Linked DNA regions of Tribolium castaneum. The protein of the gene in region 3 purifies or fractionates together with the protein of the main gene of each other region. This does not show direct contact. Links are inferred from orthologs where the notes say so. Each region holds a gene or a part of one and is shown on either strand. Other genes may lie near its edges. The genes, in order: 14-3-3epsilon, eIF3g1 and eIF5.

Region 1 (4,180 bases), on a different chromosome or scaffold from region 3:
TTTTGAAGTTTATTTTTTCTGATTTGATATGTCTATTTGTGTAACACATTATTTTTACATATTAAAAAATAACAAGATTTCGCTTTTTCTTTACAGTAATGTCGGAAAAAAAATCTTATTAATTGTATGATTGCCTGTCAATATATAATATAATAAATTTTATTTATTTATTATTATTTTATTTTACAAAAAAATCTCAATCCAAACACCAAAATTAAATCTCATCTGCGGTAAAAAAATACTACATTGCACTTCACTAAGTCATCAAATGGTAGTGACACATTGTTTTCAATTTTTTTGCTTTTTTATGTATTAAATTCTGCAACGATCGTATTATTTGTTCAATTGGAAATAACTTAAACATAGATTATTTTCATAATTTCACATTTTTTTACTTTAATAACCGTTCACAAAATTTCTAGATTATTCACACCTTTTATGTGAAATAATTTTTCCATGGCCAACTGCTTTCAAATATTTTAAATATATTTTTTATCAAAAATATATAAAAATATCAAACTGTATTTATATTATTTTCAGTTTAAAAAAAAATAAGCTTTTCGAAAATGTCATAGCCAACTATGATTTCTATTTAAAGAAATACAACTTTATGTTATTACAGCTAAACGATTTATTAAAAAAATTCACTGATACCATAATTAAATTCTCTATAAAAAAAAGCCATATAACGTCTTTGTTTCAAATGTCTATATTTTATAATAAGGAAGATATAAATTTTTTAACATTTGGCCAAAATATCAACTTTTGTTTATAAGTCGAAAACAAAAAACTATAGCGAGATGCGGTTTTGACCAAAATTATTTTCTCAAAAAGCGGACCGGAAAATGTGTCTTGTTTTTCTCTAAACCTTTTAGTTTCGGAAATCCCCTATTTGTGCATAAATTTTTTATCTGTATTTTTAAGTGGCCTAAATTGTTATTTTTGCTCTACTTCTGTATAAACACACTCAGTTAACACCAAAGTAGCCGTAAAGCGTCTTCTAATCAGTGATTAAAATTTAAACTGGCATTAGTTCGTAAATCTGAGCATCTGATTGGTCCAATTCCCCTGATCTGGAAACGACGCTTCTAAAAACAGTCCCTTATTGTCAATCGAATGCTGTCCATTAGGACGCATAATTTAATTATTGTGGCATGCAGTGTGTGAAAGATAAGCAGGATTAAATAATTATTTATTCAATTTGGCGCCATTGTGACGTGGGCCGGAGGCAGCCGATGTGCGTCCGATCGCGTTCGGGTTTAGTGTGGCGGGCGCGGCCATATTGGCAGTACGTTGAGTGTCTGTGTTTTTTAGTGTTGTGAAATTTCTATCGATAATCATCGCAAAATGTCTGAACGGGAGGATAACGTCTACAAGGCGAAATTGGCAGAACAGGCCGAACGTTACGATGGTGCGTATATTTCCCCCCGATTCGGCCTCCTCCCGGCCCAAACGGCCATCATCTCGGGACGCTCCTCCATTTTCCGCCGCGGGGGTGCCCCGCGCCCGGGCGGCGGCGGGGCTGCGCCCCCGTGTGCATTCCGCGCGGGTGACTCATCGATCGGCGCCCGGCCCCGCAGCCCCCGCCGGAAAAAAGCCAAATGTCAGAATTTTCGCGACACCGGCCCACTGCCTATTGCGTAACTTCCGGTTTTGCACGTGCGTCACGTGATGGGGGTGGCGGATTCTGCCCCCGACCTTGTCCCATTTGCGGCGGAATTTTACGCTGCATTTTTAAAACGGGATTGATTTTTGAGGGCGGCCTGCACAGGGGTCGGGGGTGGCAGCGCGACGGCGGCGGCGAATGCCAATCGATAATCGCAGAGAAGAATGAGGATTTACCGAAATTACCAACAAAAGATGCACGTCGGGGGCGGGTAACTTGACTGCGAAATTTAGGGGGTTTGGGGGGTAAACATTTTATTGAATTATTTGTTCGCTCACGAAACGGCGAGACGTAAAAACGGGAGAGTTCTTGCCTAAATTTTTCATCGCGTCAATTTTTAATACAAACGGTGAATTTTTTACGTTTTACGTTACACAGTTGGCATTTAAAAATCACTAATAAGTACAGTCAGAAGGAGTGAAATTGTCGATACAATGGCCTACTTGTTTTAAAATTTAAATGCAACTAAAGTTATTCAATTTTTAATTTTACAAAATAGAAAGTAAACAAAGTCGATGGTGTTATCACAAACAAACACAAACTGTTGACAGTTTCGTATGTCGTCAAGTCCTTGAACTTAAATTATTGCAACGACGAAATTAGTTTTTTTACTTTGTCAACAGTTAACAAAAAATGCGTCAAAAATGTCACCGGCTTTTACATTCAACATTTGTGAAATATTAATTAAGCCGGAAATGTACCAACATTGCGTTTGGCTGGTGATTCATCCACCTCACCATTTTTGTCGAAGTTGATAGATATCGAAAAAATGTGACAAGTTGCCATGTTTGGACAATTTTATTGCATTTGATTGTACATTGTTTTATAACAGGTTGGATTAGTTTGGACAGTTTTATAGATGTAATTTAATTCCCGGTAATTCACCGAGAAACGATAATTCATTTTTATCAACTGATCGATTCTCTTATCAATAAGGGAAGACTGAGTTGAATGTCCTGTTTAAATTTCAAGTTTGTGTTATGCTCGATGAGTAATCAAATAACGTGATGTAAATGATGAGAAAGTACAAAACGCATTTTAATGAACAAATGTGTTACGAAAGCGAAAAATTCTATTGAAAATTGAAACACCGATTAATAAACGCCTTTGCTCACTGGAAACCAGCCTTCGTTTTTTGAGAAAATAATTTTAAATCTCAACAGAAGTTGACATTTTAGCGAAATCTTAAAAAAATCATATCTTCCTTATTATAAAAGATACACATTTGAAAAAAATACATTATACAGGCACTTTTTTTCAGAGAATCTAATAATGTTATCAGCGATTTTTTTCAACCATTCGTTTAACTGTAATAACATAAAGTTATATTTTTTTTAAATAGGAATCATAGTTGGCAATGACATTTTCGAAAAGCTTATTTTTTTCTGATTTAATGTCTATTTGTGTCATACGTTAAATTTAAATAATTAAGAAAAAACAAAACATTTCGCTTTTTCTTTATAGTTGGCCATGAAAAAATTTTGGATTTGTAATTAAAACTATGAAAATTGTATTACCTAACAGTAATTATAATTTGATGATTTTTTAAACCCTAATTAATTCAAAAACAGCATAATAAATTTTTATTAGATCAAATTTTTGCAATTAATAAAAATTATTTGTTTTTATATAAAATGGCAAGCTTACGTTGTATTTCTACATATTTTCAAATTTTAAACATGCAATGACGGAAGAAGAAAAATCTTATGATTGCGCATCAATAAAATTTTATTTTACAAAAAAATGACAATTCAAACTCCAAAATCAAATTCCACCTGCAGTAAAAAAATATACAACATTATCAATGTCACCTCCATTGCACTTTACTAAATCATAAAAAAGTGACATCAAATGGTAGTGACATATCGTTTGCTATTTTCTGTACATTTTTTATGTAATTAAAATCTGCGACGCTCGTATATTTATTCAATTGAAAATAACTTTAACATAGCTTATTTTGATAATTTCACATTTTTTACTTTAAAAACCGTTCACAAACTTTCTAGATTATTCACACCTTTTATGTGAAATAATTTTTCCATGGCCAACTACTTTAAAAAATTTAAATTTTTTTTATCAAAAATATATAAAAATATCTCACTATATTTATGTTGTTTTGAGTTCAGAAAACAATAAGACAAATAGACATATCAAATCAGAAAAAAATAAGCTTTTCAAAAATGTCATAGTCAACTATGATTCTCATTTAAAAAAAATACAACTTTATGTTATTACAGCTAAACGAATGATTAAAAAAAATTGCTGATAACATTATTAAATTCTTTGGCAAAAAGTGCCTGTATAATGTCTTTGTTTTAAATGTGTATCTTTTATAATAAGGAAGATGTTTTTTTTTTAAGATTTCACTAAAATGTCAACTTTTGTTTATAAGTCGAAAACAAAAGACGATAGCGAAATGCGGTTTTGACCAAAATGATTCTCTCAAAAAAAGGACCCGAGAATGTGTCACGCGTTTTTCTCTAAACCTCTTAGTTTTGGAGCCTATTCGCCCAT
Region 2 (2,869 bases), on a different chromosome or scaffold from region 3:
AATTATTTTCAGGTATTATAGGGTATTTTTGAAATTAGCTAAAATGCAAACATATGTTTTTTTAAATAGAACACCCTATATTTTTTTGCACTTTTATATAATTTATAATAATTTTCAAAGAGGACTAGATTTTTTTTTGATTTTTTTTTCAGTTTTAAAAATTATTTTCAGAATTAGATAAAGCAGTGACCGCATTTTAAAAAACTTTCTCGCCTACAGCCCGAGTAAAAGAATGTATCCTGGAAATCAGTTTAAAAAATGTGCTGTAGAACACTGTGGAATGTGACCAAAATTCGACTCTTTTTAGCTCCCTTTATTATAGTTTGGAACACATTTCTTTGGCAACCCATTGAATACATCCTTTGGATATTATGTTTGATAAAAAATAAGTTTCATCCAGTAAGCAGATCGGTCCAGGACGACCTTAGCTGGGATCCTCTATTAGCAAAATCAAATTTTTTAAAATCACGTTGCTCAATTTTTACATATTTCTCTGAATGGACGAAAATTTAATTAGATCTAATTTAGCATTCCCTTTATACATAATCGTATTTTTATTGGATTTCAGAGACATTTCAAGTTATTTTAACTCAATTTCTCTTTTTTATCTAAGGCGGCGCAGAATGTTTCTTCTCTAGAAGGCTGTGAAAGATTTTTTCTAAAGCAACAGAATCGTAGCCGTAGCCTTCTAGAAGGATACCTAAATTTTCACAAATGTCTCAATTGGCGACAATACATTTATAAATAATAAGCTGCATTTCTGCACATCATCAGAAGCAACATGAACCAAAATATCAACTATTTTAATGTAGGTATACTTACGGCGTTACACAGTTGCGACAGAAAGTTTCACAAGCAAAAAAACTTTATTATAGCCAATAAACGGATGCAAATTTAACACTCCCGACACAAATTTAACTAATTTAAGAATGCAAAACATTAACTATTGGCAAAAGAACGCAAAACACAAGTCACACATTTTCTGTGTACAAAATCTAGTAGTTGATGGTTTTCAAAGCCACCTTTCCGAATAAGTTTCCCAATTTTAAAATTTCATTACAGAATCCTGTAATTATGTGTTTGTGGGTTTGTAACACGACAGCCCCGTTTGTCGGGGTTTATTTATTAATCGGTTTATTAAATAAATTTTAAAATACATGGCTTTATTAAATATCAACAAAATTAAATTGTATTGCAAAAAACAAAAATAAATAATTTGCAACGAAATTCCCCAAAGGTTGGCGAGTCTGTTGTTTGACAGTTTGAGGTTAACTTTTGTGAACGTGATTGTCGCACCATATTTTCCAAAAAAACGTTTCAAAATTAGCTAAAAATGCCTGTTGCCGAAGAGGTCAAGTCCAGCTGGGCTGACGAGGTGGAGTTGGAGGGCGGGTCGCTCCCGCCCCCGACCGAGGTGTACGAAAACGGCTTCAAGATCGTGACCGAATACGCGTACAACGAAGACGACAAAAAAATGAAAATCGTGCGGACCTACAAGATCGAGAAGCGCGTCGTTTCAAAATCGATCGCTTTCCGCAAGACTTGGAAGAAATTCGGCGAGTGTGCCAACGACAAGCCTGGCCCGAACCCGGCCACCACGATCGTCGCCGAGGACGTGTACATGCAGTACATCACGAGCAAGGAGGAGGACAACAAGCAGGAAGACGACGCTTTGGAGAAGCTGAAGGCTCTGGGCGACAAGAACGTGGTCAAGTGCCGCACCTGCAGCGGGGACCACTGGACCTCCAAGTGCCCCTGGAAGGACACCATGCTGGCCGGGGGCAAAGTGCCCGACGACAAGAAGGGCCCGGCGGTTCCGTCAGGGTCGGATGCGGGCAAGGCCGGGGGGTCCAAGTACATTCCGCCGAGTTTGCGAGATGGGGCCGTCAGGAAGTCCGATAATCTCAATATGGCGCGCAGAGACGACGCCACGGCGATTCGAATCACCAATCTTAGTGAATCTACCACTGAGACTGATTTGGAGGATCTGGTGAAGCCGTTTGGCCCGATCCAGAAGTTGTATTTGGCGAAAGACAAACAAGCCGGTTATTGCAAAGGATTCGCTTATATTCATTTCAAGTTTAAGAACGACGCTGCTAAAGCCATTTCTATGCTTAATGGACACGGTTATGATCATCTTATACTCACGGTGGATTGGTCTAAGCCACACCCTAATTGAAATGTATTTTATAAGTTTTATTTGTATTGAATAAAAATGCTTTAGCTAATGTTGCGTTTTTTCAAACCTACAATACAACAAAATACGTAGACATTTCAGTTTTAAATAATTCGAACAGAGGTGAAGATTGGTACAGGTCTTAGGTACACTATTAAAATAAAATATAGAAAATTCTCAAGTGTTGAAACTATCAGCTCTTAGCATTTTTCGCGTAAACGGTAGGTAAACATTACGGTAACTTCTCGGAAAAATAAAAAATCCCAAGCAATTGAGTTTTTTTAACTCGAGAGGTTTGTAAAGGCATACAATACCTGATAGAACTTTGCTAAAGCTAGTTAATTGTTTTGTTTTTTTTGAAAAGGTAAAAAATCTTAGACAATAGTTTAAGAAGTCTGCAAAATATTAACTATTGCTGGCTAATTTAGCAAATAAATAAGGTTGGTTTTTGGTTATAAACTAACCAATAAAAATAAAATAAAAGGTTAATAAACTAACTAAAAGATTTATTAACCAATCAAAGAACCTTCTGGTTATTTAATATTAATAAGTAATAACTTGACTGGACAATAATTAAAATGCGAATATAGGATTTTCCTTTTATTTTTTTTTCGATTTTGCTTTTTAAACTTACGTTTATTTGTGTCAAAACAAATACTAAAGCAATTGTTTATATAGTAGCGGTTTAAAAGT
Region 3 (4,129 bases):
ATTCGGTCCTTTTCGCTCTTTTCTAAATCATCATTGATGGTCATATTTTTTGCACCTTCGGTCAAATCCTGCATTCGGGCGCGAACGGCTTCTTCCGACACGTCAGCTTGCCATTCGTGTGCGTCGTCATCATCGCCGTTCTGCCAAACGTTTCAATTTCAAACTGTTTAGTCTGCGGTCCGCGTCACTTACCTTGGAATTTTCATTAACTGATGCCTCCAAGCTTTCGTTTTGATCGTCGACTTGACTGGTGTCTCCATTGGTGTCTCCGTTGGCGCGTTTGCTCCTCTTTGATCTCTTACCTTCAGTCAATGACGAGCCCTGAACGGCAGGATTTAAATTTGGCGGATTTTTCAAAATAAAAGTGACCAATTTATGGTTGGATTCTAGCGGGCCGTGGTAGCCACATGCCTTGCAACCTTGAGAAATGGTGCTGCGTTTGGTGGAGACAAGCAGCTCGGTTTCAGGGTTCTCACATTCGGGACACAAAACGAATCTATTTTTTTTATTTTTTGAATTAAAGATATTTTTTCGAGTTTGGTTTACTTACTTCCGGATGAAGCCATCGAGTAGGTCTTGTAGTTTGCCCGCATCGTGCGATCCATTGACGATAAATCTTTCGTTTTTGAAATCGAATTGAGTCTGAGCGCCCAACTCGCAGCCAAAGTACTTCGTCGGATAGGTGGGGGGTCGGCCTAGGGCCTTGGCCACTTCGGCCATATTAACAATGACCGTTTTGATGCCGTTACCTTTGCCCTCCACTTTGGCCATCAGCCGGGGCATCTTGTAGCGATAAAAGACATCGCTGACGCTGCGATTGACGTTGACGCTGCCCATGGTTGTGGTGCCAGTGGCGTACCAACGACGATTTTAATGTCAATGGTTGCGGTGATTTTATTATTTTGATTACTGGTGGTGAAAGAATTTTTGCTGCTGTTTTTCGCAATTCGGACGTCAGTCACGTTTCTCTGAAGGGCTGGAGTTTCCGATGCCTATTTGTCGATGAAAATTTTGTCGTCCTATAACAGGTGGGCTCACGTCGCTGCGAAGTCATACACCTCGCTGGCTCGGGCCCTAAACTCCCAACTATGCTTTTGGTTAATAATGTCTCTGGAAGAAACAATTCGTGTTAATTTCACTCATGCAACGAGATTCAGAATAAGCAACTTCGTTATCAATCTTGTTTTACGCTTAATGATATAAAATAAACCGAAATTGCTAAATTAATCGGCCATGCCGTGCTGAATTTTAAGCCATAAATTTCAAAGATACATAAAAAATTCCATTAAAAAACGTAAAATCATTGTAAATGGTAAATATTAACAGCGTTATCTTTTTGCTTTTAAAATATTTCTATTTAATTTTAGCTATAAAGTTGTAACTCAGAATAAAATGGCCCTAAAAAAACATTTTTAGATCCGACACCGTTAAAGATAGCGACACGGCCTTAATCCCGTACAACTGTTTCTTTACACTTTTTTATTCTCAGCGTTTTGAAGAATTTTTTCCACCGCACTAAATTTTTTGTCTCGTTTCGCCTTCTAGTTTTAGTTCCCCGTAAGTGCATAAAAGCAAAAAAAACGTACTTAGTAAATCTGCAATATTCTGTTTTCCAACTGCATTAAGGGTAAAATCAGCATACGTACGAGAAATTTGACAATCGGCTTGAATTTTTGTACCTAATTTCGTGCGCAACTTAATCGTTTTATGCAAATGTTGTTATCTAACCGGCGTTAGCGTGCTTTCGAGTGAATAAAACGGCACAAATTGTGTAATAAAACTCACATTATGGGGCAGAGCGGCAGCGAACCCGTCAGCAAATTCATGAATTTTTTTCTAAATGACACTGGGTCACTTTAAAAACAGTTAACAAGGAAATAAATCGAGAGACGTGGTGACGTCACGCGCCGGCGCATCCCTATCCCGGAGCCCCGGCTCCGGAAAGGCCCCCATCTTACCTTTAACGCAAAATTCGCATCGAATCTGCCTGTTTTCCGGTTACCATATGGTCTGTTTGTAATCACAACTTGCGGTAATAAACTGGTTGCGTGACCATTGAAAATGCGACAAAACCGTCCGTTTCGTGATAATTAAGTACCATAATAGGTCGGTGGTACATCGAGACGATGAAAAATTTCGAACGGAACTACATTTGACGAAAATTTTTTGACATGTGCCAGACCATCATTGCCTACTTAACTTACGGGTCTCACCATCGTGGAAAGGCGACAGCATGGGCATGGGGGAGGCCGTTTGCCCCTCGGTCGTGGCTTGGAGAGCAGTTATGTTGAGGTTTTTCAGGGCGCGCACCGAGACTGAGGCCACGTAAGCGTCGCGGCGCGAATCGATGTCGTCGAACCGGCGCAATGCCACGGCCATATCGATCACCACAATGCGACACGATTATTTTTATAGCGCACGCCACTGCTCGCCCGGAAAATTACAAACCCCGCAAACACGCCTCCACTGGTTTATTTGAACAGACCGCGCAGTCACGTGACACCAGCGCTGCCTTCGTACAAAAAAAAATAAAAAGCGTGCTCGATTGTTTATGGAAATTGGATGTTACGTCATGCTTTTACTGCAAAAATCGAACTGATAACGCTATCACCTACCTTTGTGGCTTACTAAAGTCATATAAAATGGTAGCGCCCTTCTGGACGATGACTCCCACAGAAGCAAAAACTAAAGAAAAAGGTCCGTTCAAGGGTCGATCAAGGAAAGTGTCCGGCTGGAGTTTGCTGCAAAAACACCGAGTTTGATTTATTTTTAGGCAGAAAAAATAAGCAAAAAGTATGCATGTAACGTGATCTCACCTTTTATTTGTAGCACCTTCCACGGACCATCTATGACCGAATTAACGCTCAAACAATTAGACGACACGTCAGACAAAGTACTAAACTAATTAAAATGCCAGTTTGAAGGCACAATTGGGGGAAAAACCAACAACACAGCTAAATTGCTGCTACTTTACTGAATCGCCATATGCAGATAGTCGCCTGACTTTTCGACGAACTCACAGGTGCGCACCCGCAACCGGACAAAACTTAAATCCCTAAATTGACACGAAAAAATCGGCTAAAACGGGCTTTGCCCTCTAAATTTGTCCACAGTCGTTTCGGCAAAGTGTTTAATTAATTACTGGGGTGTGTTTTGCAAGCCAGAACCCTGATTTGTGTTACTTTAACCCGGCTTAGTGGCACCCGGTAGGTGGCGCCCCTGATTTGGCAATCATCTGTCACTCTTCTAACACTGAGAGAAAAAGGAATGAGAAGAGAGTTATCAAAAGCGCAGCCATTAATGTCAGAAGAAAGTGATTGCAGTGTCAAAAATAGCCCAATTTGAGTGTTTTAACGCTTGGCTGCCAAATAAAGGTGAGTAAGCGTCCCCCCGATCGTTTGGGGGCACAGTTCAAGTGTCGGTGTCCTTCCTTCCGTTGGTCAATTTTTGTGATTTATTTATGTCGCAGGTTACGCTATGGTCTACTGATTGCCATAGCAGGTGAGCAGTGCATTCCCGTGGCATGGATGATAGCAACACGTAAGTATTTTTCAATCGTCACGCTTGGCAAAGTAACGAGGAAGCGCCCCTGTAAAAATCGGGCGTGAGTCACGGCTCGGAGTGTACGCCCCCGCCGTCACACGTGTATTGGTTTCCGATCGAAAGGGGTGCAAATTTCTGATGGGGTTCGTCGGGCTATGGGGCGCAGGCGCGGCGTCGCGACGCAGTACGTTTGATGCACCGACGTCAGTTTTCGCGTTTTTACCGAAAGTGGCACACCCTTTTTCGAGCTATGGGGTGGAAAGGGAAGGCGGCGTGATGTTCTAGGGGGCCTTATTATTGATTGCGGGGGTGATCGTTGACCAAAAATATATTTTTGCATTGTCTCATATTCCGTCTTGTGATAACGCCTTGCACTTTTACAATAATCAAAAATATAAATAAGGTTTTTGTATAGACGCTCAATTTAAACGATCGTGAGGTGATGAACGAGGTGCTCATTGGAATTAAGAGGACGCATTCGAAAAAACATGTCTAAAACGATCAACGCGTATAGGATGTAAGTTGGTTTTGTTTTCAGTTCAAGCTTTTGTGTTCTTGTGGCGGTCTTGCTTGCCTTTCGTTTGTG

Evidence for each region.
Region 1: the proteins of eIF5 (region 3) and 14-3-3epsilon purify together in Homo sapiens (affinity purification with mass spectrometry; 3 studies listed by BioGRID and IntAct, with this or other methods). This does not show direct contact. The link is inferred for Tribolium castaneum from reciprocal best matches to the Homo sapiens genes EIF5 and YWHAE.
Region 2: the proteins of eIF5 (region 3) and eIF3g1 purify together in Homo sapiens (affinity purification with western blotting; 3 studies listed by BioGRID and IntAct, with this or other methods). This does not show direct contact. The link is inferred for Tribolium castaneum from reciprocal best matches to the Homo sapiens genes EIF5 and EIF3G.

The regions. Positions count from the first base shown.
Region 1 is NC_087401.1:11,229,074-11,233,253, reverse strand, and holds the start of 14-3-3epsilon (14-3-3 protein epsilon), read left to right. Parts: upstream 1-1,244; 5' UTR 1,245-1,347; coding exon 1,348-1,411; intron 1,412-4,180. UniProt on the Homo sapiens protein: Adapter protein implicated in the regulation of a large spectrum of both general and specialized signaling pathways. Binds to a large number of partners, usually by recognition of a phosphoserine or phosphothreonine motif.
Region 2 is NC_087395.1:17,787,938-17,790,806, forward strand, and holds eIF3g1 (eukaryotic translation initiation factor 3 subunit G), read left to right. Parts: upstream 1-1,216; 5' UTR 1,217-1,333; coding exon 1,334-2,179; 3' UTR 2,180-2,228; downstream 2,229-2,869. UniProt on the Homo sapiens protein: RNA-binding component of the eukaryotic translation initiation factor 3 (eIF-3) complex, which is required for several steps in the initiation of protein synthesis.
Region 3 is NC_087402.1:3,658,167-3,662,295, forward strand, and holds the start of eIF5 (eukaryotic translation initiation factor 5), read right to left. Parts: upstream 2,935-4,129; 5' UTR 2,817-2,934; intron 2,742-2,816; 5' UTR 2,616-2,741; intron 2,398-2,615; exon of another isoform or gene 2,205-2,397; intron 2,189-2,204; exon of another isoform or gene 1,959-2,188; intron 1,861-1,958; exon of another isoform or gene 1,786-1,860; intron 1,111-1,785; 5' UTR 838-1,110; coding exon 551-837; intron 497-550; coding exon 193-496; intron 141-192; coding exon 1-140. Other genes in the region: Klc (kinesin light chain), read left to right, coding at 4,032-4,060.